Linked DNA regions of Mus musculus. The protein of the gene in region 3 purifies or fractionates together with the protein of the main gene of each other region. This does not show direct contact. Links are inferred from orthologs where the notes say so. Each region holds a gene or a part of one and is shown on either strand. Other genes may lie near its edges.

What was found.
Region 1: the proteins of Hectd1 (region 3) and Smc4 purify together in Homo sapiens (affinity purification with western blotting; 3 studies listed by BioGRID, with this or other methods). This does not show direct contact. The link is inferred for Mus musculus from reciprocal best matches to the Homo sapiens genes HECTD1 and SMC4.
Region 2: the proteins of Hectd1 (region 3) and Zranb1 purify together in Homo sapiens (affinity purification with mass spectrometry; 5 studies listed by BioGRID and IntAct, with this or other methods). This does not show direct contact. The link is inferred for Mus musculus from reciprocal best matches to the Homo sapiens genes HECTD1 and ZRANB1.
Region 4: the proteins of Hectd1 (region 3) and Copa purify together in Homo sapiens (affinity purification with mass spectrometry, with the first as the bait; 3 studies listed by BioGRID). This does not show direct contact. The link is inferred for Mus musculus from reciprocal best matches to the Homo sapiens genes HECTD1 and COPA.
Region 5: the proteins of Hectd1 (region 3) and Zfp622 purify together in Homo sapiens (affinity purification with mass spectrometry; 4 studies listed by BioGRID, with this or other methods). This does not show direct contact. The link is inferred for Mus musculus from reciprocal best matches to the Homo sapiens genes HECTD1 and ZNF622.
Region 6: the proteins of Hectd1 (region 3) and Urgcp purify together in Homo sapiens (affinity purification with mass spectrometry; 4 studies listed by BioGRID and IntAct, with this or other methods). This does not show direct contact. The link is inferred for Mus musculus from reciprocal best matches to the Homo sapiens genes HECTD1 and URGCP.

The regions. Positions count from the first base shown.
Region 1 is NC_000069.6:69,025,238-69,028,737, reverse strand, and holds part of Smc4 (structural maintenance of chromosomes protein 4), read right to left. Parts: intron 2,915-3,500; coding exon 2,753-2,914; intron 1,246-2,752; coding exon 1,020-1,245; intron 920-1,019; coding exon 840-919; intron 294-839; coding exon 141-293; intron 1-140. UniProt on the Homo sapiens protein: Central component of the condensin complex, a complex required for conversion of interphase chromatin into mitotic-like condense chromosomes.
Region 2 is NC_000073.6:132,948,176-132,951,675, reverse strand, and holds part of Zranb1 (ubiquitin thioesterase Zranb1), read right to left. Parts: coding exon of another isoform or gene 3,468-3,500; intron 2,092-3,467; coding exon of another isoform or gene 2,055-2,091; coding exon 1,241-2,054; intron 1-1,240. UniProt on the Homo sapiens protein: Ubiquitin thioesterase, which specifically hydrolyzes 'Lys-29'-linked and 'Lys-33'-linked diubiquitin. Also cleaves 'Lys-63'-linked chains, but with 40-fold less efficiency compared to 'Lys-29'-linked ones.
Region 3 is NC_000078.6:51,826,537-51,830,734, reverse strand, and holds the start of Hectd1 (E3 ubiquitin-protein ligase HECTD1), read left to right. Parts: upstream 1-1,445; 5' UTR 1,446-1,505; coding exon of another isoform or gene 1,506-1,880; intron 1,881-2,466; coding exon of another isoform or gene 2,467-2,550; intron 2,551-3,221; 5' UTR 3,222-3,243; coding exon 3,244-3,383; intron 3,384-4,198. Other genes in the region: uncharacterized protein Gm5785, read right to left, coding at 594-1,445, 1,506-1,880, 2,467-2,550. UniProt on the Homo sapiens protein: E3 ubiquitin-protein ligase which accepts ubiquitin from an E2 ubiquitin-conjugating enzyme in the form of a thioester and then directly transfers the ubiquitin to targeted substrates.
Region 4 is NC_000067.6:172,099,529-172,103,028, reverse strand, and holds part of Copa (coatomer subunit alpha), read right to left. Parts: intron 3,362-3,500; coding exon 3,262-3,361; intron 1,651-3,261; coding exon 1,515-1,650; intron 820-1,514; coding exon 737-819; intron 1-736. UniProt on the Homo sapiens protein: The coatomer is a cytosolic protein complex that binds to dilysine motifs and reversibly associates with Golgi non-clathrin-coated vesicles, which further mediate biosynthetic protein transport from the ER, via the Golgi up to the trans Golgi network.
Region 5 is NC_000081.6:25,983,024-25,987,165, reverse strand, and holds the start of Zfp622 (zinc finger protein 622), read right to left. Parts: upstream 2,801-4,142; 5' UTR 2,617-2,800; coding exon 1,983-2,616; intron 369-1,982; coding exon 120-368; intron 6-119; coding exon 1-5. UniProt on the Homo sapiens protein: Pre-60S-associated cytoplasmic factor involved in the cytoplasmic maturation of the 60S subunit.
Region 6 is NC_000077.6:5,738,377-5,742,425, reverse strand, and holds the start of Urgcp (up-regulator of cell proliferation), read left to right. Parts: upstream 1-1,249; 5' UTR 1,250-1,315; coding exon 1,316-1,329; intron 1,330-4,049. UniProt on the Homo sapiens protein: May be involved in cell cycle progression through the regulation of cyclin D1 expression. May participate in the development of hepatocellular carcinoma (HCC) by promoting hepatocellular growth and survival.

The DNA.
Region 1 (3,500 bases), on a different chromosome or scaffold from region 3:
AAGACAGCCGAAGTACATACTAAGAAATATACTTAATCATCTTTTATATTTCAAAATTTAAGCAAGCTCAAAATGCTTCTTTGCAATTGCTGTTGAGCTGTAACAGACCCAGCTGATAGTCACTGACACAAACACAATACCTGGATGCTTGCAGCGAACTTTTCCAGTGTATTTCTCATGTCTCGTTCACTGTGCCGTAACTTAACTACTGCTTCTTCATGTTGTACTTTCTGTTCTTGGATTTGCATTGCTTGTTTAGAATGCCTTTCCAACTGGGATTCCATCTTATTTACCTTCAAAGAATAAAAGAAATACAATTTTCTCCAAGTGTCACAAAGCCCTTAAATTTCTTGTATTATTAATACTGTGGTGTGTGTAGCCACATGCATGCCTTGGCATACATAAGAAATGTCAGAGGACAGCCTGTAGGAATTGGTTCTTCTATGGACTGAACTCAGGTAGTAAGGCTTGGCAGGAAGGGCTTCTACCCACCCTCTCAACAATCTTGCCCGCCCTCCAGAGTTCAAGGTTAGCTTATGAAATGAAAAACCCTGGGGTTGATGCAGCAGTTAAGAGCACTTCTGAGTACCAGAGTTTGATTCCTGGCCATTATATAGTGGCTCACAACCTTCCAGTTCCAGGGATCCAATACCCTCTTCTGGTCTCCTGGGATACTAAGCATGCATATGGTATGGACATAATATCCATTAACATAAAAAAAAAAAAAGGAAAACCTCCCAGCTTCAAACATAAAGACAAAACTAAGAGCTACAAGTAGTAGCATATGTGGATTTCCAGCGAGAGGGCTAGGAGGTGACGGCTATTTGGACCATGCTAACCTCTTCTACAGAGATTTCATCGATAACCGAAGAGCCCATCCTTCCTCTCATCACCTTGCTTCCACCGCCACTCATTGTACCTGGGAACATATGACAAGTCAGTTTTGTATGCTTTACCCAAGATTAAAACAAAAACGAAAAACCAAAGCCAACCAGTAGGGGAGGAAGAACCCGACTCACCTGACTGTTCTATGATCTGTCCCTGCAGAGTCACTACTCTCCAGCGTCTGTCTCTTTGGTACGCTACTCTTGTAGCTTGATCCAAATTGTTAGCCACCAAGGTATCTCGTAAAGCAAAGTAAAAGGCTTGGCGGATTTCCTCATTTTTCACTTTAACTAGATCAAATAACCGAGGAGTATTTTCAGGAGTTTGAATTTTGCTCATTTTTTTGGCCCACACTGTCATCTAAAAGTTATAAAATTGTGCACATAATAAGCAATGTTTCCTAGGTATTATAACCCTAAATAAAATTTTTGTTTTTGAGACAGGGTTTCCCTAGCTGTCGGCTCCAATTCAGAGATCCAGCTGCCTCTGCCTCCTGAGATTAAAGGCATGTGCCACCATCACCCAGCTCCTAAATAAAATCTTACCATGGTATTAAATTCCTCCCATTTTAATTTTATATCTATATAGTATCAACACACAACTTAACATTAAGTTAAAACCTCGAAATGCATTGGACATCTAAACGTAAGAGTGGAAATCCCTAAAACTCAGAAACATCCAGCACTCACAGCCCTCACAGCCACTCGGAAAGCAGAGAGGAGGATTGCTCCAAGTTCAAAGTTAGTGTGGTACAGACACCAAGTTTTAGTTACCCAAGGACACATTAGCATCCCTGTCTAAACACACACACTCATCTTCTACCCAAGAAGCTAAAGAAAATTACTGTGAAGTAGATCTTTTGTGCTTCAAAATACATAATCAAGAAAGTCACAATTGTTAAGTTTAAATTAAAACATATTTTAAAAGATGCACCTGACAAGAGCCTTAAAATCTAAAGGGTTTTTAACAATCCAATAAAACAAATGAAAAATGGCAAAGGTTTCCCCAAGAAAGATGAACGATCAATAAGCACAAAGAATGTTTAATATCAGTTATTAGGGAAATGTAAATGAAAGTAGTTAGCTATCACCTTACATCTATGAAGATGTACTGCAATAAAATACACCATATGATCCAGTAATCAACTCCATTCCTAGGTATGCACTTACATTTACACAACATTTTTTGCATCAGTCTTTGCTATAGCACTATTGTCAAGGCAATCAAGAAGTATGAACAGACCAGAACAAAGACAAATGAAGGATAGGTACATGTCAATGTTTGTAGCTGAGGGTGGGTAAAAGTGTGGGCAGTGCCTACGGAGTGATAAAAATAGTCTGGAATTAGATAACAGCCATTCATCAGCAAATTTGTAGATATAGTGAAAATAATTGAGTTCTACTTTAAAATACAATTACACAACATCTCCATAAAGGTTCTATGAAGAAACAGCTTAGTGATAGAAGTCAGAAACATAGAGCCAGGTGGTGGCAGCACACACCTATACTCTCAGGGCAATGGGGAGGAGTTCCAGGCCACCCTGGTCTGCAGAGCAAAGTCCAGGACAGCCAATCTATACAAGGAAATCCTGCCTTGAACCTCCTGTCCCCACCCTCAAACAGAAACATACTAACAATCATCCATCCACTGGACAACACCATAACAACTGGAAGTTTTTAGTCAAGGCATTACAAACTTTACCCTTTAACCTCCCAAAACATGTACACACAACCTAAATTAAAAAAAAAAAAAAAAAAAAAAAAAAAAAAAAAGGGGCCAATAGTGGTGAAGAAAAATTAGAAATTTTAAGGGAAAAATATATGGCACCTCAAAGTTAAATTATAGGAAGTTTATTATGAATACTTACCTTATCCAAACCTATGAAAGTTGCAATCCCAATATTATGCTTTTTAAGGAAGTTTACACATTCTTGGGCTGTATCAATAGAATCAACAACAATGTAGTCCAATGCATGGCAACAGGATGAAATAGCAATGTCATATTTTTCATCAATAGCTCCTAAGTCTCCCTAATAATGAAAAGGAGTAAACAACTAAATAGATCATTTCATTACTATTCAGATTTGACCATTCTTCCCTACCGCATTGGGTTTCTGTAGCCGAAGACTGACCAGACCCCTTGTACAGTGGTACATGTCCCCAAGACTTTGAATGCTATTTTTACTCTTAATGGAAGACTAATAAGTACACTTGGTTTAAAGAAGTATAAAAGGGGAATGACCTACAAGGTTCCCTTCTTATGCCAACTATTCTTCCCTCTCTATAGGAGAACCAACGGACACTAATGTGTGCTAAGCAAGCATTCTACCACTGAGCTATATCCCATGCCCTACAATTTCTATTGTAATCTACCCTTTAGTGTTTATGAATATGCAATGTGAATTTGTACTGGGCACAGGATTGATATAAGAACTGATTTATTTCATGAAATATATAATGTGGATATAAGACCTAAAAGAATGTATAAGCTAAACAATTCTCTTAACTTAGTCAAAGTTGCATAAAATTATGTAAGTAGCTATGAAGCAATCTATTAACAGCAAATACTCAGGATCATTTCTTTAAGAAAATAAGGTAGGAGCCATCTAATATCAG
Region 2 (3,500 bases), on a different chromosome or scaffold from region 3:
TACTCATGGGGCTACATCCAAAAGGGTAAATCAATGGGGAGTGGAAGGTAGCTATGGTTCCACATCAAGTTTAACCTTATAAACCACTCAAGTATTTCTAAACAAAAGTGAACACCAAAGTAAGCAGCCCATAGAAATAGTTTAAATAAAATCCAAACACCTGCTGAGCACTGGGGGCGCACGCCTTTAATCCCAGCTCTTGGGAGGTAAAGGCAGGGATTTCTCAGTTCGAGGCCAGCCTGGTCTACAGAGTGAGTTTCAGGACAGCCAGGGCTACACAGAGAAACCCTGTCTCAGAAATAAATAAATAAATAAATAAATAAATAAATAAATAAATAAATCAAACACCTAATCTACTAATGGGAGGGGAGACTTAAAATCAAATGAACACCTTCAGATGGGAGGATTCTGTGAGTTCAAGGCCAGTCTAGTCTATATAATGAGTTCCAGGACAACCAAGGTGAAAGCCCCTGTCTCAAATAAAACAAAACAGAATTAACAGCTTTTATGATTTATAGCACAAATTATTAACTCATTAAGCTAGTAGATGGAGAAAAACTTCCTCTTACATGTCTCTGTCCTTTAACATTTCTACACAAACAGCCAGGCCCAACATTATGTTTATGAAAGAACTAAAAACACAATACCCATAAGTCATAATCTGAACTATGGATTCGAATTAGCTGTCTGTGAAATCAGTTCTACCAAGTGTATAAATATTTACGACATGACATTCATATTAAGTTAACATCAGCATTTTCAAGGTCAATAAATATTATGTTCGTTCAACTTCTTGGAGTCACACATTTTTATGATATTTTTAACTTCTGACTAAAGCCTCTATCATCACAAGATGCTCACACTGTTTACAAACATTCAGAAACAGCAGCTGGTGTTGCTCTGTCACATCTTGTTACAATAAATAAGAGAAACAATTTCAAACTCCAAGTATATACTTTCTCACAGATGTGTTAACAGTCTCTTTAACTTAAAAAGCATGTTCACAAGTAAATGTGGACACTTTGGTACAAGGCAGACAAGGTCACAGATACAGAACTTTATGCATGCATACATGAACTATCACACCAAATAAGTCAAATGCGAAGTAATACTGATCTTCCTCTTATTTTCAAGCCATTTCAATGCCTTTTCCCATCTTATTCAAAATAAGGCCAAAAAAGCCCAAACGTATGAACAAAAAACCCAAAACACACAAATAAACAAAAACCCAGAAACTTACCCACACAGGCATTGAGGAATAGCCAATCAGTCTTTTTCATCCTATTTTTAATCTGCTTTAGTTTTTTAAAGTCCACTTCAAGTTCCTCCTTGGTACCAACAGCACCAGCCAATTCGATCCTCTGAAAATCCATCTTCACTTCCGAGTCCCGTTTTGTAGTTGGAGGTGATCTTCTTTGGCTATTACCACTACTGCAGCCTCCCCTCCATCGAGCTCTGTCTTGCTCATTAATTATTGAAGAAGCCTCTTCAGTCTCTGCCAACTCTATTGCTTCAATGTTATTAGGTCTGGGATGGTCACAAACAACACATTTTTTAGCCTTAGCCCAGTTTTCATATGTGCAAACAGAACAAGTCCAATGCTGGGTCCTTGTATTCAATTTATTTCTATCATTGTATTCTTCACAAGGATCAACAGAAAAAGCAACTGGTCTTGAACCAGATCCTGAGGATTGAGGAGATTCTGTGGGACTCCTGGTCCTACGCTGGGATAAGCACTGGGTACATCTGATTGCTCTTGGCCAGTTCAAATATGTACACATGTGGCATGACCATTTATTTGCATTTTCCATGCTGTATGAAGACTTAACCCTTGGTCTTGCACTAGAGTCTGGACATATCAAAGGACTACTTCCACCTTCAGTACTGGAAGGATCCCAATCTCTACCAACATCACTTGAACCACTTTTAAATGGATCTTCTGTAATAATTGTTCCACTGGGTCTCTGGGCACGACACATAGTACACTTGATTGCAGACGGCCAGTTTTCATACGTACAATATTCACAGGCCCACTTAATCCCATGTTCTGACATTGTGTACTTCTTGAAGTGAGTTATGTCAGGCAGGAAGCTATAAATAATTAGGACATTGTTATTAAAATAATAGCTACATAATTCCATCTCTGAAAATATGCCCCCGAAATAAAAAATACCCTTCAACTTAGAAAATATATATTTCTTAAAAGACACATGTAAATTTCTTATTGGATTATTCTACTTTTGTTTGGAGATTTCCAAAAATAGTAAAGATAAATTTCCAAAAAGAGCTCTTAGACTTCAGGGTTTAATAAAAGTTTACTTTGGACTGCTGAAGTGATAAAAGGAGATGAATGCAGAGTCTTTCTACAGGGAAAGAAGATAAAAATAGGTGAGTCACTAATAGAAATTACTTAATTTCAGCTCAGCTGTCACCATTAGTTTAGGAAAAGTTAAAAAGACTTGCAGGCAAGAGAAAAAACACAAACCAAATAGAACCTTAAATAACCACTCACAAATTGCAAACAATGTAGACTGTGCTATTTGTAGTATGTCTAATCCGTGATTTCAGAAGCTCAAAGTCTTTCCTAATTATCCTTGCTAAGGGAGGAAAATAGCTTGAAAGTGCTAGTTATTCACTGCTTTGAATTAGCACAGACAGAAAATATGCTGATGAGCTCTAATCACAATTAACAAAATAACTTTATAAACTAGAAATGATTCTGATATTCTGTATTCTCAAAATATAATTATATTTGGAACATTAAAAGTTCTACGTTACTTATACTCTCAAGAAATTCAAATGGACAGATTTCTCTAAGAAAACTATTAGCATAAGCATGCCAATCTATTTCTAAATGTTCATATTTGATATCTGAAAAATTAACATACACTAAAATGTTTACTTTATATTAAAAATATACTTGCTATCTAAGAAGTCCTAGAAGTGGGAGGGCTGGAACATGCCTGTAATCCTAGCACCCAGGAGGCTGAAGCAGGAGGATCTTGAGATTGAAGCTAGCTTGGGCTACGTATTGAGAAACAAATAAGTCAGTCAACATTCCCAGGACTCTAACCGTGGATTTACTAACACTACACAATAATGAAGACTTTACTATTTAATGACAACTAATTCATAAGTGAAGCAGTTTATATGGCAAACTTAATGATATTTTAATGACTTAAATTAGAACACTAAACAACCTCTCAATTTTTCAATCTGTTCTAAACTTAGTACTTCCCTATGACCTATTTTAACAAGGAAAAGAGAAAAGGTTCCTAGGCAGAGTGATAGGTATTTCTCCTTCCTAAACCTGGAAAGCCAAATCACTTTATAAGTGTATTTATTCTGTTCCTGTCTATTAAATCTACACCCCACATACACAGTGACGTTTGCTAAGAGGACAACTTCACCATAGAAAGGATACTGTTGGATAGCTAAAATTTAAAAAAAAAAAAATTCACACTTACTAAGATTTTAGTTTCCATGCTATAACCTCCACC
Region 3 (4,198 bases):
AGTACAACAAAACAAAACAAAACACAACACAACACCAAATAAATGAGCTACCAAGCTATAAAAACTCACAGAGGATCCTTAAAGAGTGTTAGTGAATAATTCCAACTAGAAACGATATTTTGGAAAGGGCAAAACCATAAACAAAGAGATCAGTGGGAACTCTCTGTCCTTAGCCCTACCTGGCCAGGAACACATGATACAGAACAGGGTAGCCATAACTTATTCTCTGTACTTTCTGTTCAATTTGCTGTGGATCTAAAACTCTTCTAATGAAAACTTTTCCGGGTGTCTCTAATGTGCCGCCAGGGTTGAAAACTACTAGCCTCGGTCTTTGCATACAGTTCTTTCCTAAAATTAGGTATCTACTGCTATTTTGTTGTTGTTGTTCAAAGGATGAGTTCAGTATGGAGTCTTTTTCTTCCTCTTTTTCTCTCCCTTGGCTGCTCCTTCTTCATCACCACCGTCGCCGCCCTGTAGCCCAGACAAGTCTCGACCTCATTTTGTAGCCAAGGATGACCTTGAACTCCAGCCTCCAGTTCTCTAGTGTCACGGTTACGTGAGGACTCCACTAGCAGCGGCTAGTATTTGATTTTTCAACGCCCATGAAATAAAAGTTTGACGGGAATAACTACGGAAGTACAAGTGACCACGAGCCGAAGGCAACTGTGTGGGAAGTCCTCGATGCTGGCTGCTTCCCGGGACTCCACGGTGGGCAGGCAGGAGGCACGAGTTCCCGCAGCCGTCCTGGTCCCATCTGCGCCGAGGCGATAACGCCCGGCTGCGCAGCGCTCGCCGAGTTCCCAGGCTCGCTGGGAAGCGTTCTGGTAAACCGCTGGCTTTAAAAGTCCGGAGGAGGGGGTGACCCGGGCACGCCGAGCGCCTGCGAGACGGTGGCCTCCGTTCCGCAGGACTCCGGAGCGGCTCGCGCCGGGCGAGACGGGCGGAGCGTGCGCGGAGCAGCTGCTGGCGGCGCGCGCGGATTGACAGCGCGGCGACTCGGGCGCCGGGAGGCCGGGCTGAGGAGAGCCGTAGCCGACCGCCGAAGGAGCCCGGCGCCCCCCGTCGTCGCCCCGTGCCGCGGGGTCCGGCCTCCGCAGCGCCCCAGGTGGCCGCGGGCAGGGCGGCCGGGAGGCGTTCGCTCCGCCTCCGCCGGCGCGGCCTTCACCAGCCTCCCCGCCCGGCGCTCGGCCGACCCTTCTCCTGCCCCCGCCCGGCTGGCGATGGACGCGGCGTCTCCCCGCTGCCGCCGACGGCCCCGCGCGGACCTGGCTCTGAACCGCAGGGTCTGAGGAGCCGCGTGCTGGGGTCGGGACCCGCGCTGGCTGCCGCCGCTCGGGGGAGCCTCTCGCTTCCTTGTCACCGGGTCCCCGCGGAGGAAGGGGAGGGACGAGACACGGCTTTTCCTGTGCCGCCTGCCTGGCTCGACCTGCGCGGCCTGCGGTTTCCTAGGAACTCGAGGGCCGCGGCCGGGCCAGGCTCTGCCCGCGGCCTGCTTGGAGCTGGACCGGAGCTGTTTGGTACGGCGAGCCAGGGTAAGAGCCTGCGGTCAGGGTAGGCGGGGGCGCTAGGCGCTGTCGGCAGGCTGGGCCTGCGCGAGGATCCGGGCCGCCGAGTCCAGCGGCGGGCGCGGAGCTGGACCCCAGCGCGGTGAGGTCGGTCTTCCGCCGTCGCCTCTGCGTATCGGGCCCTTTGTTCCCCTCTCCGGGCCTTACGGGGCTTGGCTTGTTGGCTTCGGAGCTCCGGCTACGCGCTCCTTGTCCTTGGTAAGGCTCAGCCGCCCGGCGGGGACCGGGGACGTCCCGCTGGGCCTCCGAGTTCCGGGAGACCCGCACCCCAGCCGCTCGGCGGCTTCCTCTTGAGCTCGCAGGTTTGCTGCTTCTCTAGAACTTCGCCCTCCGCCCGGAGGCAGGTAGCTAACTTAGCCAGGTTGGCTGTCAGCGTCGCGGCTCCGGCCTTGATCAGGCCGAGGACGATGGGGCAGCCCCGCCGGGCGCGGCCGATGGGTGCCCACCGCGACCCGCCTCTAGGTTCCCACACCGGCAGGTGGATTGCGTGGGACGCAACGCTGTCCTTTGGTCGGGCATCTAGAAGCTTTTGTAATGACTTGCCTGCCTAGACTACTTCTCAAAAAATTTTTTACATAAAAACTAACTGCCCCATCCTATGGGAGAAAGAATGTCTGCCTGTCTGTCCGTCTGCCTGGGGGGGGGTGGTAACCTGTTAGTTGTATTTACTTTAGCATCAAGCCCCCCCCCCAAAAAAAAAAAAGTTTTAAGAACATTTGCCTAGATTACCAGAAGTTCTTATCAGTATTTACTTCCGCATAGGTAGATTTCATATCTAATTACTGTTTGTATTTGGGCATATTTTAGGAGTAAGTTTGAGAATTCAAAACTCGTGAGAAGGGAAATTCAATCCGAAGAAGAATTGGATTGGAAAGTGGTCTTTAAAACTACTGGATCTGACCCGTATCTGAAGCTCCGATTTTTGGTGGAGTTTGGGGGGAGGTTGCAGGAAGAAGTTGACTGGTAAAAGAACTTTTTTGTACATGTTTTTTGCCTTTTGGCACAGACATTGGTGATAACAGTACTGGGATCCAAAACTTGTTTCATAGTGTTTGACCAAGACAGCTCTGGTTTCTAGTTAACTAGCAACCTAATCAGCATATATTCATTCCAGTGTTAAACTGTTTTGCCTTGAGGGTTTTTGCATTAAGCCCAGGAAGTAGACTGCTGCATATGTAGCATACTTTTTGAAGTAATACTTTGCAGTTTGGAAAGTTTTTTTTTGTTGTTTTGTTTTTGTTTTTTCAAGACAGAGTTTCTCTGTATAGCCCTGGCTGTACTGGAAATCAGCTTTGTAGACCAGGCTGGCCTTGAACTCAGAAATCTGCCTGCCTCTGCCTCCCTAGCGCTGGGATTAAAGGAGTGTGCCACCATGCCCGGCTGGAAAGTTTTTTTTTTTAAAGCATATATATTTGCTTATTTTGTGTGTGTGCAAGTATGTGTGCGTGTGCATATCACAGTGCAATATGGAAATTGGAGAATAGCTCTGTATGTATATACATATACACATGCATGTGTGTGTGTGTGTGTGTCTCTTGAGGACCTGAGGACCTTACAGAAACTTGGTTCAAGCAGATGTACAAGAAAAAAGTCTTTACACAGGCTGATCAGTTCTGAACAAATGTTTGAAAAACCCGTTTCCCTTTTTCAATTTAGGCAAAGGAGCATTTTAAAGACAATGGCAGATGTAGATCCTGATACGTTGCTGGAATGGCTGCAGATGGGACAGGGAGATGAAAGGGACATGCAGCTAATAGCCCTGGAGCAGCTATGCATGCTGCTTTTGATGTCTGACAATGTGGATCGCTGTTTTGAAACGTAAGTGCATTCCTGCATCACCTTCCTCTGCGCCCACTGTGCTGACATCTGTTTCCAGCTATTTGCTGACTTCAGTTTGTGTGAAAACTTTGCTAGGGAACTTTAAAATACCCCTTTAGACATTTCTGCAGTTGTCTGTGGTTCATGGAACCCTAGTAATGATAATCGTGATTATGTAAATACATATTTGTTCAATGAGTGTGGATTAGGAATACTAACCATAGCTTGGTTGAGTCAGTTATGAACCATCTCATAAATTAAAAAGATTATAAATGTTTATCTTCTTTAAAGCTGTTTTTGTATTATATGACTTGGAGAATAAGGTCAGAACTACCTGTTTCTTTGGTTTTCATGTGTCATTGCTTTTGTTAAAATAACTTCGGTTAATACATTTCATTTGGATATTTCCAATACTTTTTGAAGTACAGAAGCTTTGAAGTTGTGTGTGTGTGTGTGTGTGTGTGTGTGTACTTTCGTGTATGCTATGGTGTGCATGTGGAAGTCAGAGGACAACTTTTTGGGAGTTGATCTCTCATTTTAGCATGTGGGTTCCAGGATTAAACTCAGGTTCTCAGGCTTCGTGGTAAGTACTTTTACCAGCTGAGCCATCTCACTACCCAAATTTGGAGAGTTTTAAACAGTTGTATCAGAGATGATACTAGAAAGTTTGCATAAAAATATGAAAGGCATTACTCTACTAGCTCGGCACTTAGGCCATGATTTTCCTCTTGTGTGATTCTGGTTCAGTAAAGGAATAAACATTTCTCTGAGTTCATCTGAGTTGTGAATTCCAATAAGTCACTAAAACCTTTTAT
Region 4 (3,500 bases), on a different chromosome or scaffold from region 3:
CAATGCTATCCCAAAAGTCCGCCATACCCCCCCCCCTAAATACATTCCTAAACTCACAGTTTTTAAAAACCTTTTCCAAATAGTTTTCTGTCACTCATCTCCCTGGTCTTCCTTCTCTTTCTTGAACCCAGGACCTCATACAAACTAGGAAAGCAGCCTGTGACAGCACAGTCTCCCTTTTCTCACTCATGTTCACGTTCTTGAATACCCACTATAAGCCTGTAGGCCACCACTGTCATCGTCCTCCCTTCCCTTGACTTTTTATTCAAGGCATCTTCAAACACACATCACTTTCTATACTTAGAGTTTACAGACCATCTCCCTTAAAGCTCCACTAAGGCAGGCAGTATTTATGCACTGCTCTGACACCAGCATAAAGAGCATGGGCTGATATTTTATTATGTATTTGACAAATGAATGAAGTAGACTTGGCTTCTACGTTCTCACTCTGAGAACTCTAAATGTTCACTATTAGTCTCCTATGAGCTCCTAAAAGCACATCACAGAGAATGAGCTTAAGGTCAAACAGAGCTTCATGGTGAAGATCACTAAAGAGCTCCATCTCCCAAAAGTAAGAGATGAGAATGAGAAAAGCTTCCGGTAGGTGGCTCTGAAAACTCTGCTTCTCTTTGTTTTCCTATTACCACTTATAAGAGACAAAGCTAAGGAAGAATCACTTTGAAATCTACAAACTTTCAACTAAATCCCAGGAGCGAGAAGAAGAAATGGTCCTTACCTGCTGCAAAGAGGTTAAGGTTGGGATGGGCAGCCAGGACCCAGAAGCGATCATGATCCCTACGGAAAGTCTGAACCCCAGTCCTAGAAAACCAAAAGGTACAGAAGAAACCGTTAATCAAGGCTCTTCAGTACAGCATGCACAAGGAAAGTGAGTAGCAGGCCTGGAAGATGACTTTACAAGTGCACTGGAGACAGGGAATGCTGTGCACTCAGCTAAGGATCAGGACCACACCCACAAGGAACACAGTGGGAGGGAAGGCTTCACACTAACCCAGGCCTAGGCAGGCCAGTTTCTCCCTTGTCTCTCCTAATGTACTTTTAGTTCACATTTCTACCTCTTTAGCTGAACAATGAAGGGAAGAAAAAAATATACTCAAATTTAGAGGAGAAAAAGAATACAGGGAGATTTGTACCTAAAAAATATTGTTGCTATTTTAGTCTCTAAGGGTTTTTGCTGTTGCTTGCTTATTTATTTATTTACTGCTTTACAGCAGTGTGGATTACATTTATGGCCTCATGCATGACAGGCAAGCACTTTAACCACTAAGCAATACAGCCTTAGAACTTCAGAACACAGGACTTGGTTTTTCATCATGCTGAAGAGAAAAAGAAGTATTCTAATTTTTTCCTTTCCTTTTACAGATATTAATATTGCATAAGGAGTGTGTGTGTGTGTGTATGTGTGTGTGCGCGCACGCACGCGCGAAGACAAAGGATAAGACAAAGAAAGGGTCCTTCTCTTGGGTTTGGTCACATGACATAAATAATTCCCTTACCGCTTAGACATATCCCAGACTCGAATACTCTTGTCTTCAGAATTGCTGAGGATCAACTCTTGGCGAGGGTGAAAAACAGCACAAGACACATTGTTGTAATGGCCCCGGCAGGTGTCAACCTCCCATGCCTTTGATTCTGAAGAACAAAAGGAATTGTTATCACAATTCTCTGTAATAACTCTGGGATCTATAAATCCAACACCCATTCTTTAAAAAAAAAAAAAAGATTTTAGTTGTGTTTTTAGTTTTGTGTGTATTTATCTGTATGTGGTTTTTTGCATCTGAGTGTAGTATCTGTGGAGGCCAGAAGGCAGCCCTTGGGCCCCTGGAGCTGAAGTAACAGATGTCTGTGAGCTGCCTGACATAGGTGCTAGGAACCAAACTCAGCCCTCTGTGGGTCCACTGAGCCATCTCTAGCCCCAGCTTTTTGAGGAGACAAGGTTTTGCTATATGGCTCAGGACGGCCTTGTGCTTGTGATCCTCCTGCCTCAGCCATGCATGCTGATACTGCAAGACTATACCATCATGTACATGCATGCTGATACTGCAAGGCTATACCATCATGTACATGCATGCTGACACTACAAGGCTATACCGTCATGTTGACACTGCAAGGCTATACTGTCATGTATATGCATGCTGACACTGCAAGGCTATACTGTCATGTACATGCATGCTGACACTGCAAGGCTATACCGTCATGCTGATACTGCAAGGCTGTACTGTCATGTACATGCATGCTGACTCTGCAAGGCTATATCGTCATGCTGATAGACATTGCAAAGCTATACTGTCATGGACAGCTGTGATGATGCTCTTTAAATGCAAGTGCTAAGTACTATTGCAAAATGCTAAATCAATTTTCCCCAAATGGGACAATGTTTTTCATGTAAGTTTCTTCCTCTTTATTTTATGTTTATTTTTTTTAGTTACTTGAACCTTTTTTTGCGGGGGGGGGGGGGTGTCAAGACAAGGTTTTGCTGTTGCTCAGGCTACCTTTGACCTCCTAGGAATTGTACTACCTCAGCCTCTTTTTTTTTTTTAGGAAATCTTTTTTTTTTAAATTAATTAATTTATTTATTATATGTAAAGTACACTGTAGCTGTCTTCAGACAGCACCAGAAGAGGGCATCGGATCTCATTACGGGTGGTTGTGAGCCACCATGTGGTTGCTGGGATTTGAACTTCCGACCTTCGGAAGAGCAGTCGGGTGCTCTTACCCACTGAGCCATCTCACCAGCCCCTACCTCAGCCTCTTGAGTAGCCACAGCTACCTCAGCTCCAAAATTCCTGTTTTTCTGTACATCTCTGTTCTTTTATTATGTACCTCTACTGACTGTAACAGCTATATTAAATAATTCTTTATGCTTCTACTCTTATTTTATCCACATAGTATATGTATTACTTGCTGATTCTGAGAACAAATATAAACTCTATATCATGGAAATTTTGAGTCACAATAATATAAATATGGCCCTAAACACAGTCTAAAACAAAGCAGCTACTCACAATTTGTCACATGAACTTTTACTCTTGACTATGCTCATATCTCTCAAAATCAAGATACTGCCATGAGGGGTGTGGAGGGGAGGAAGAGACAATGATCATGCACTTAGGAATAGCAGTAAATAATCAACTAAGGCCTAAGGCAGAAAAATAGGCCAAAGTCCAGAAAACCTGGCTACTTCCCCTTGCTGGCTGGCTGCCACTTTCTTGGCTATGGCAACATCGCCAGTACCTTACTCACCATTCATACGCCAGATCTTCACTTGCCGGTCATCTGCCCCAGATACAATAAGGGGCATAGTCGGGTGGAAGGCAGCCCAGTTGACTCCACGGTCATGACCCTGTTAAAAAGAGAAAAAGTGGGTCTTCTACAACAGCTGTAAAAACACAATTCAAAGAAAACCATGCTAGTGTTTATAACAAAATGTGTCTGTTTCTTTTTCTGTGATACGGGCAATCAAAGTCAGGGCCTTACAGGTG
Region 5 (4,142 bases), on a different chromosome or scaffold from region 3:
CTCTCCTGGTCATGTGGAAATAATATGAAATCAATCTTTAGAAGTCAGGTTAAATCTCACTACTTACTCTCACAAATTGAAAAATATTTCTTCATCAAAAGCAAAATCATTGTACTTACCCAAATATTTAATTAGTCCTTTCAAATCTGAAAGATACTCTATATCAGGAATAAAAAAGCTGTGGACTTTAGTCATATGAGCCACATTCTTCACGAGGGAGCTTGAATGATGGGAGCAAAACAAGCAGTCTGTTATTGGGATGGCACCTAGGGGTGGGCTCTCCTCAGCCGCTGCATCTTCTGCATCCTGATCCTCCACTCCAGGGTCCTCACATTCCAATCCATCATCGGAATCAATATCTTCCCAATCTTTAAGCCAAAGTTTTGAAAAATAAATTTACTTTTAAAGGTGTGATAAAGCAAGCACAATCAGAGATCAAATACCCCCAGACAAGTTTAAATGATAAAAACCTCTTTAATCTTTCTTTTCCAGCAGGAAGCTCTATAAAATAGTTGCTAACCTCTTTCCTATGCATTACTGCACCTAGCCCAGTACTGGACACCAAGTTAATTGGATTCCTATCTGGTTCAGTAGCTGTCTACCATTTGCACTTCACAGGAATACTTTAGTGTATATTTTGGTGTGTGCAGGGCTGCTATATGAATGCTTCTGTTTATATGTGTCCATGCAAGTTCAACTTAGTCACCAATGTAACACATGGGACCTCTAGGAACCTCATGAGTGAGTTGATGTCCTAAGAAAAGGACTTAAATGAACTGGCAAGTCTCCTTTTTTGTGTTTTGCTCCCCCTCCATGAGTACACACCCTAGATCTGCCTTTTCCATCATTAAGTAAGGCTTAGAAAAATACCCCTCCACAGAGCAAGCCCTCACTAAACAGTCAGGGTGCCAGTAGCTTCATTTTTTACTTCATCTTCCATGACTGTGGCAAAATAAGTTCATGTTGTTTATAAATTACCAGGCTTAAGATGCTTGGTTACAGAAGTATAAACCGACCAAGACATGAACACAAACACTGTCAGTATCAACAGTGCCGTGGGGGTGAATAAAGAACTCACAAAGTAAGGAACCTTGGGGCTGGCTGGAGCCCCACAAGTCAGGCTTGCAGGCAACACGAAACCCTCACTCAGTTTTAGTCAACTAAGTGAAATGTAAAATCCTAAGCCATTCTAACCACACATTCTACAGCAGCGTGCCAACAGCATAGCTTTCTGTGCACCAGTGTAACCCTTCCTGATCCAAACTAAAAGAATGTTTTGCCCGTTAAGAATGCGCCTCTACTCTTTTATTCTGTTTTTAATCAATGCCCTAGGTCCTGGATCCACCACAGAGACGCAGACAGACAAAGTGCCCTGTGGAAATGAAGAGCAGTGAGGCATTTAAACCACTTCTGCCCTCACTCTAAAATGTCCTATAGAAATCCCCAAATACTGTTCCCTTTCGGGTCCACACGAAGTTTGGTGCGTCCGGGAGCAAGCATAAGAATGGAGGTCTACAGCCCGGCAGTGGTGGCACTCGCCTTTAACCCCAGCACTTGGGAGGCAGAGGCAGGGGGATTTCTAAAGTTTAAGGCCAGCCTGGTCTACAGAGTGAGTTCCAGGACAGCCAGGGCTACACAGAGAAACCCTGTCTCGAAAAACCAAAAAAACACCAAAAAAGTATGGAGGCCTACAATCCATCTGCTTAACTAGTTAAAAGTCATAAACCAGGAAACATCTTTAAATCCAGGCGGGATGCCCTGGGCCTGGAACCCCACTCCCTCAAAGGCTGCGGTAAAAGGATAAGAAGAAAGTCAGGGTCCAGCCTGGGAATGGATGTCGCAAAGGTAAACACTGAAGAAGGCTCGGGCTGGGGGCCTCAGGGGAGGGCGACATCGCTGAACGTGGACCCAGCCCTTCGTCTCCATCGCGATGTCTCCCGGAGCCTCCCGCTCGCCCCAACCCCGACAGGACCCTTACCTACCTTCGTCTTCGTCGTCTTCCTCCTCTTCCTCTCCCTCCTCCTCTCCGTCCTCCCACTGCTGCTTCGCCAGCTTCTTCGCCTGCTGTTCGAACCACTGGAGCCGGGGCGGCTTCTCCGTCGGGTCTCGCTCCGGGACGCCCCGTGCGCCCGCCGCCGCCCTCCCGCACTCGTCCGTGGGCACGAAGGGCGCTTTCTTGGGGGACGTGGAGGGCTGGGCCTTGATGGCCTGCTGGATGGCGGCGTTCACGGCGTCCTTGTCGACGCCGTCCGCGCCCAGCCCCTTCTCCAGGTTCTTGGCGTTCAGCAGCTCCACGCGCCGGCTCGCGGCCCGCACCGCCTTCCGCTCCAGCTCGGCGTGCCGCCGGGAGCCGAGGTGGTTCTCGTAGGCGTTGAAGGTGGCGAACTTCTTGCCGCACGCCGTGCAGTAGGTGGCCGCGCCCTTGCTCGCCTCCGCCGCCTCGGCCACCGCGCGCTGCGCCCGCACCCGCTCCTGGAAGCCCTCGGCCGTCACCGGGGCCATGGCGGCCACCTTGCGCCGCAGGTTGTAGCGGTGCCAGTCCGTCTTGTAGTGCGCCCGCTGCAGCTCCGCGTCGCGGAACGCCACCCGGCAGGTGATGCACGTGAGAGCCGCCATCCCCGGGCCCGGAAGACAGAGACGACCCAGCCGAGAACCTTCTAAGCCTGACCGGCCGCCTTCTAGTCCCACAAACGCAGAGAACCTCCTTCGCCCACAGCCAGGAAAAGACACACCAGACACCAGCTTCCGGGCTCTAAGTGAGGGAACTTCCGAGTTCTAAGTGAGGGAACTTCCGACTCGCACAGGAAACTCTTGGCAGCTGGCTTAAGAAGGCCCGCCTGGGTCCCCGGAAATGACGAAGTTTCATGTCGCTCTCTTCGCGCCTGGATCCGCCCTGTCAATCAAAGGTGGGCGTGTGCCTGGAGGATGCCGCTGCCTCCTGAGGGCTTAGCGGTTGTGTCGCTTGCCGTGACGAGGTCAGAGGGATGGGCTTGTGAGGGAAAGAAGGGCGTGGGTGCCTGGGATGGTTCTGGGACTGCTCTTGAGAGATGGATCCCGTCAAGACTGTCTCTCGCGCCTCTGGAAAGGGGGATCAAACGTGGCGACAGCGTGGAACTTCCGGAGGCCAAACCGACCCAAGCTCTTTGCAGCGAAGGGGGCGGTCAGAGCTCTTGAACAGAAAAGATTCCCTGCTGGGAGCCGAAAGTACAGCCTAGCCACTGTCCCACAAAATATAATCCGAGCCACATGTGAGATTTTTAAATCCAAGTAGCCATATAAAAAGTCAAAGTAGAGACTATGCCCGGGCCTAACAAACACAGAAGTGGATGCTCACAGTCAGCTATTGGATGGATCACAGGGCCCCCAGTGGAGGAGCTAGAGAAAGTAACCTTATAGGTGGAACAACAATATGAACTAACCATTACCCCCAGAGCTCGTGTCTCTAGCTGCATATGTATCAGAAGATGGCCTAGTTGGCCATCAGTGGAAAGAGAGGCCCATTGGACTTGCAAACTTTATATGCCCCAGTACAGGGGAACGCCAGGACCAAAAAGTGGGAGTGGATGGGTAGGGGAGTGGGTGGGGGACCGTGTGGGGGACTTTTGGGATAGCATTGGAAATGTAAATGAAATAAATACCTAATAAAAACAAACAAACAAAAAAGTCAAACTAGGTGAAGTTGCTTTTAATGATCGAAATACTCTTTCAGCATCTAAAACTTTAAAAGGATCTATCTGTGATTTTACGCTCCATCGTGGGTACTAAACCTTGGAGACCCTGTGTGTATAACAGCAGCAATTCATATCAGTTCGATTTTTTTTTTCTTGAGACAGGGTTTCTCTGTGTAGCCCTGGCTGTCCTGGAACTCACTCTGTAGACCAGGCTGGCCTCGACCTTCAGAAATCCACCTGCCTCTGCCTCCCAAGTGCTTGGATTAAAGGCGTATGCCACCACTGCCTGGCAAATCCTCTGTTCTATCCCTGCCTTTAACTCACCCTGATTCAATGTCAATTGTTCTAACAGGTTAAGCAAGTATATTTTTGGTATTGTGTTAGAAATCCGTTGCTATGCTATTCTGCCTGAATATCTTTCTGCCAGCTTGCTCCCTTTTGTAAACCTTTGCCCAAATGCCTTTGGGGGGG
Region 6 (4,049 bases), on a different chromosome or scaffold from region 3:
TTAAGATTTATTTATTTTATTATCTGTAAATACACTGTAGCTGTCTTCAGACACTCCAGGAGAGGGCGTCAGATCTCATTACCGATGGTTGGGCGCCACCATGTGGTTGCTGGGATTTGAACTCAGGACCTCTGGAAGAGCATTCAGTGCTCTCAACCACTGAGCCATCTCTCCAGCCCGGTGTTTAATATTCTTAGTGGTGAAGAGAATACTATCTCAATGTTGGGCCCTGCCCCGCATGGTGGTGCACACTTTTAATCTCAGCACTCTGGAGAAAAAGCAGGCAGGTGGAACTCCATGAATTCAAGGCCATCCTGGTCTACACAGCAAGCTCTTGGCAGGACAGTGTTAAACAGAGAACCTGTCTCAATGAAAATAAAGAAAAAGAACTTGAAGGTAGGAAGGTGGGGAGGAGCTGGGAAGGGAAATTATAGTGACACATAGTTTGTATTTTTTTTCTCATTTTCTCAACAGTTCATTACTACCGTTTGATTTGATTTTACTGGTTATGAGTTCTGAAATGACATGATTGGACTAATGCTTTTATGTCACAGAAAGGAAAATGCACTGTATGAAAAAAATAAATTGAAAAAACAACTTAATGTGATAACACAAAAATGCCACCAGCAGTGGTTTGCACTGCATAGTCCAGAGTTTGTTTCTTTAAATTAGGTATTTTCTCTTAAAAGATATAATTTGTCTTTGAAACTAATTTAGCAGGGGCTGGAACCAAGCCTCAAAATTTTACATGCCTAAATATTCATAGCTTGTAGGTGATTCTGGGAAACCCCACTGCACAAGTTCTAAACTTTTTATTTCTATGTAATACAAGATAAGGCTTAATATACACACTTAAAAAAAAAGTGGGAAACCAGCTCAGAGGCCAACATTACTCCACCCCGCTGCGAACTAGTAGCAGGAGAGATGTTGTTTTCCTTTAGAACAGCAACACTGTACACCCCAGAGGTAGAGGAAAGTGCGTTTCTTACAGAAATTAACATCAGAATGCGGGGACTAGAGGGTGGTGTCCAGCAGTCTGGCAGCTGTCAGTGGCCCCAGGGCAGGTCTGGCTCCGCAGGTGAGTTCCAGCCTCCGGGCAGCGGGCCGGCCTGGCCGGTGGCTGCCGTAGGTAGTGCTCTGGGCCCAGGGCGTCCTCTCCCTCGCCCCAGGCGCCCGCCTGCCCTCCACTGAGCTCAGCCCACGGCGCCCGACGCCCTAACGGAGCGGGCGGGGGCGGCCTACAGGCCCCTCCCCGGCGCCCGGCGGCAGCCGCGCAAGCAGCGGAGGAGGCGGGAGCGCCCAGGCCGCTGCGCTCATGGCGTCGCCGGGGTGAGTGAGGCGCTCCGGGTGTGCGGGGGGCGCCTGTTGGGCGAGGGGCGGGCGGAACTGTGCGTGTCCACCACCCGGCGCCCCCTTGGCCTCGGCCGGACCCCGGCTGACTCTGTCCCGCCAGGTGCCTGTCCACGACCCGCGGCCTCCCCCGCCGACCTTGGGCGGTCGTAGCCGGGCCAGGGTCTCCCGGCAGGGCCGCGGGCAGGACCAGCCAGGACAGCGGCCGGTCAGGGCCGGAGAAACGGGTTCTGGAGAGGGGCAGCAAGGAAGCTGCGGGAGGGGACTCGGGGTCCTAGGGCTCGGCTGAGGCCGCAGAGCGGCTTAGCAGGCCTGACGTGTGTTTCTGGCGTTTAGACTTGCTTGCGTTGGAAGTTGATGCTTGGGTTCACAGTCATTAGGGGACATCCCCAGGCTGTCCCACGTCAGGGCAAGTGGGGCTCAGCTGGACTGGACCCTTGTCCAGAGTGAAAAAGCGGATTCGGGATCTAAGACTGCCTGTGTTGGGGTGGGGGTGGGGGTGCTTCTGTGGGATGGCTACACTTGTTCTGGTATTACCTCTTTCCTAGTGCTCGTTCTCTCTCCCAAATAGTGTTCTTAGGAAATTATATAGTGACACATAGTTTGTATTTTTTTCTCATTTTCTCAACAGTTCATTACTACCGTTTGATTTGATTTTACTGGTTATGAGATCTGAAATGACATGATTGGACTAATGCTTTTATGTCACAGAAAGGAAAATGGGTCTCAAGGTCATCGCTATAGGTGGTAAACATCTTTTTGACTGTACGCCATCATTCAGAGGGTCTCAGACCCAGTAGTACTGGTAGCAGCCCACGCTGTGTATCATTGCAGTTAGAAGACTTACAGGTGCAGGAGGACTTCTGGGGGAAGCATGTAGAAGTTAGCTCTCCCACAAAGGCAGACTTCACTATGCTAGGGAGTGATTTGGCTCGGTACAGTGGTCTGAATGAAGGTGAATGAAGCAATCTGAACTTGATCCAGGCCTGCAGGCGCCAGTCAGATCATGGGCAATTTCCACCTGCCTAATGCCTTTCTAGGCTCGAGGGCAAGCAGGCACTTCTGAGACCAGGCCTTTTTCAATGCCAGCTGGGTATCCAGTACTTTGAGCTCATAAGGAGAATAAACTGTGATCCATCCTGGGCAGGCCAGGCTTTGGACCCAGAGGGCCAAGGTCCCTCTACATTCTTGCCCAGCCTCATAGGAAAGTGTAAGGCAGTGTTTGAGCCTGTGGCAGCTGCCATTAGGCTTGTAAGACAGCTTAGTACATTTTGTGTCTAAACACACTGCTTTGTAGACAGGGGTTGGAGGAGGATCTCCTAGGATTAATAATTCTGTGTGCCTGGACCCACAGAATTATGGTATTGTCTGATAACAGAATAGTGTAATGCCTGAACCATGGTCTGTATATATAGGTGGTATTAATATTTGCGATTCTAGTTGTGAGTGATCCAATTAATTTGTAATATTAATAGTAATCTGTAATTTCCTAAGGGGTGTCTATTAACAAAACTGAGGTCACAAAACTTTTAGTATACTCCATTTAAGGAGAAATCTATGCTTACTTTGATATGCATACACTACTATATTAGGTGTTTTAGAGAGCAAATATAGATCAATACATGGCAGAAATGGAAGGAGCTGTTCTGGGGAGGGGTGTCTCTACATTTGATTTTTTTTTTTTTTTTTTTTTTTTTTTTTTTTTTTGCTAAGTAGCAGTGTCAGTGATCTATGATAGAACTAGAGAGGAAAGAAAAAAAAAACTCTTAACTTGTTTTGAGTACCTTACAGATGTGCTAGGCATAGTGTCAAAGAAAGAAAAGATGTGTTTGAGAGATGACCCATAATCCACTGTGTCTTGAGCTAAATAAATAGAAGAGAAGGCAGGGACCGTGGACTCTTTGCCTACCACTAAAGGGCATCTCCAGTCGGCCTCACCACAGCTGTCTCTGGGGGAATCTGGTAAGCATTGTAGAGGAGAGGACGCGACACAGTCCATCTGTCCATCTGGCCCCTTCTGAGCAGGTCCCACCCTTTACAGGTGGCCTAACCAGAAGCACTTTAGTTCAGTCCTCAGCACCACATAAACTAGGCTGTAATTCTAGCACTCTGGAGTAGAGGCCAGGTGATCAGATGGTCAGCACCATCCTCTGTTAGAAGACGTCAGCTTGGAATGCATGAGAACCTGTCTTAAAATAAAAATGAACTCTGGAATGTTACTGTCGGTTCTAACAGCACTTACGATTGCCCGCTGCCCAGAGGAAAGGCAGGGAGATGCCTGCCAGCCTTGCTCTCACTCCCACCTACAGAGATCTTCCTGTTTAGCCTTCTCTTTGATAGTTTGGGTTTCCTCTGTCAGCCATCTCTGCTCATCTCAATACAGATTCTGCATTTTCATGGCTATTTCTGTGGACTTAACTGTTGATTCACAATTCACATGTAGGTTTCTAGGAGTTTCTCTGTTCTTTGAAATATTGTATGCAGTGTTAGGGTGATGTTTATGGTCCTGGAAACAAAATCTAGCTATTGTTGGGCTCAAGACAAGGTATGACTATGTCACCCAGTCAGGCCTTGAATTCATGATCCTCCAGCTTTGGTCTCTGGAATGCTGGGATCGCTGGCCTTCTTTCTCCCTGTGCTCAAAAGCATTCTCATTCTTAGCAGGGTCGCAGGCCATCCTAGACTCCTAGACTGTGTGT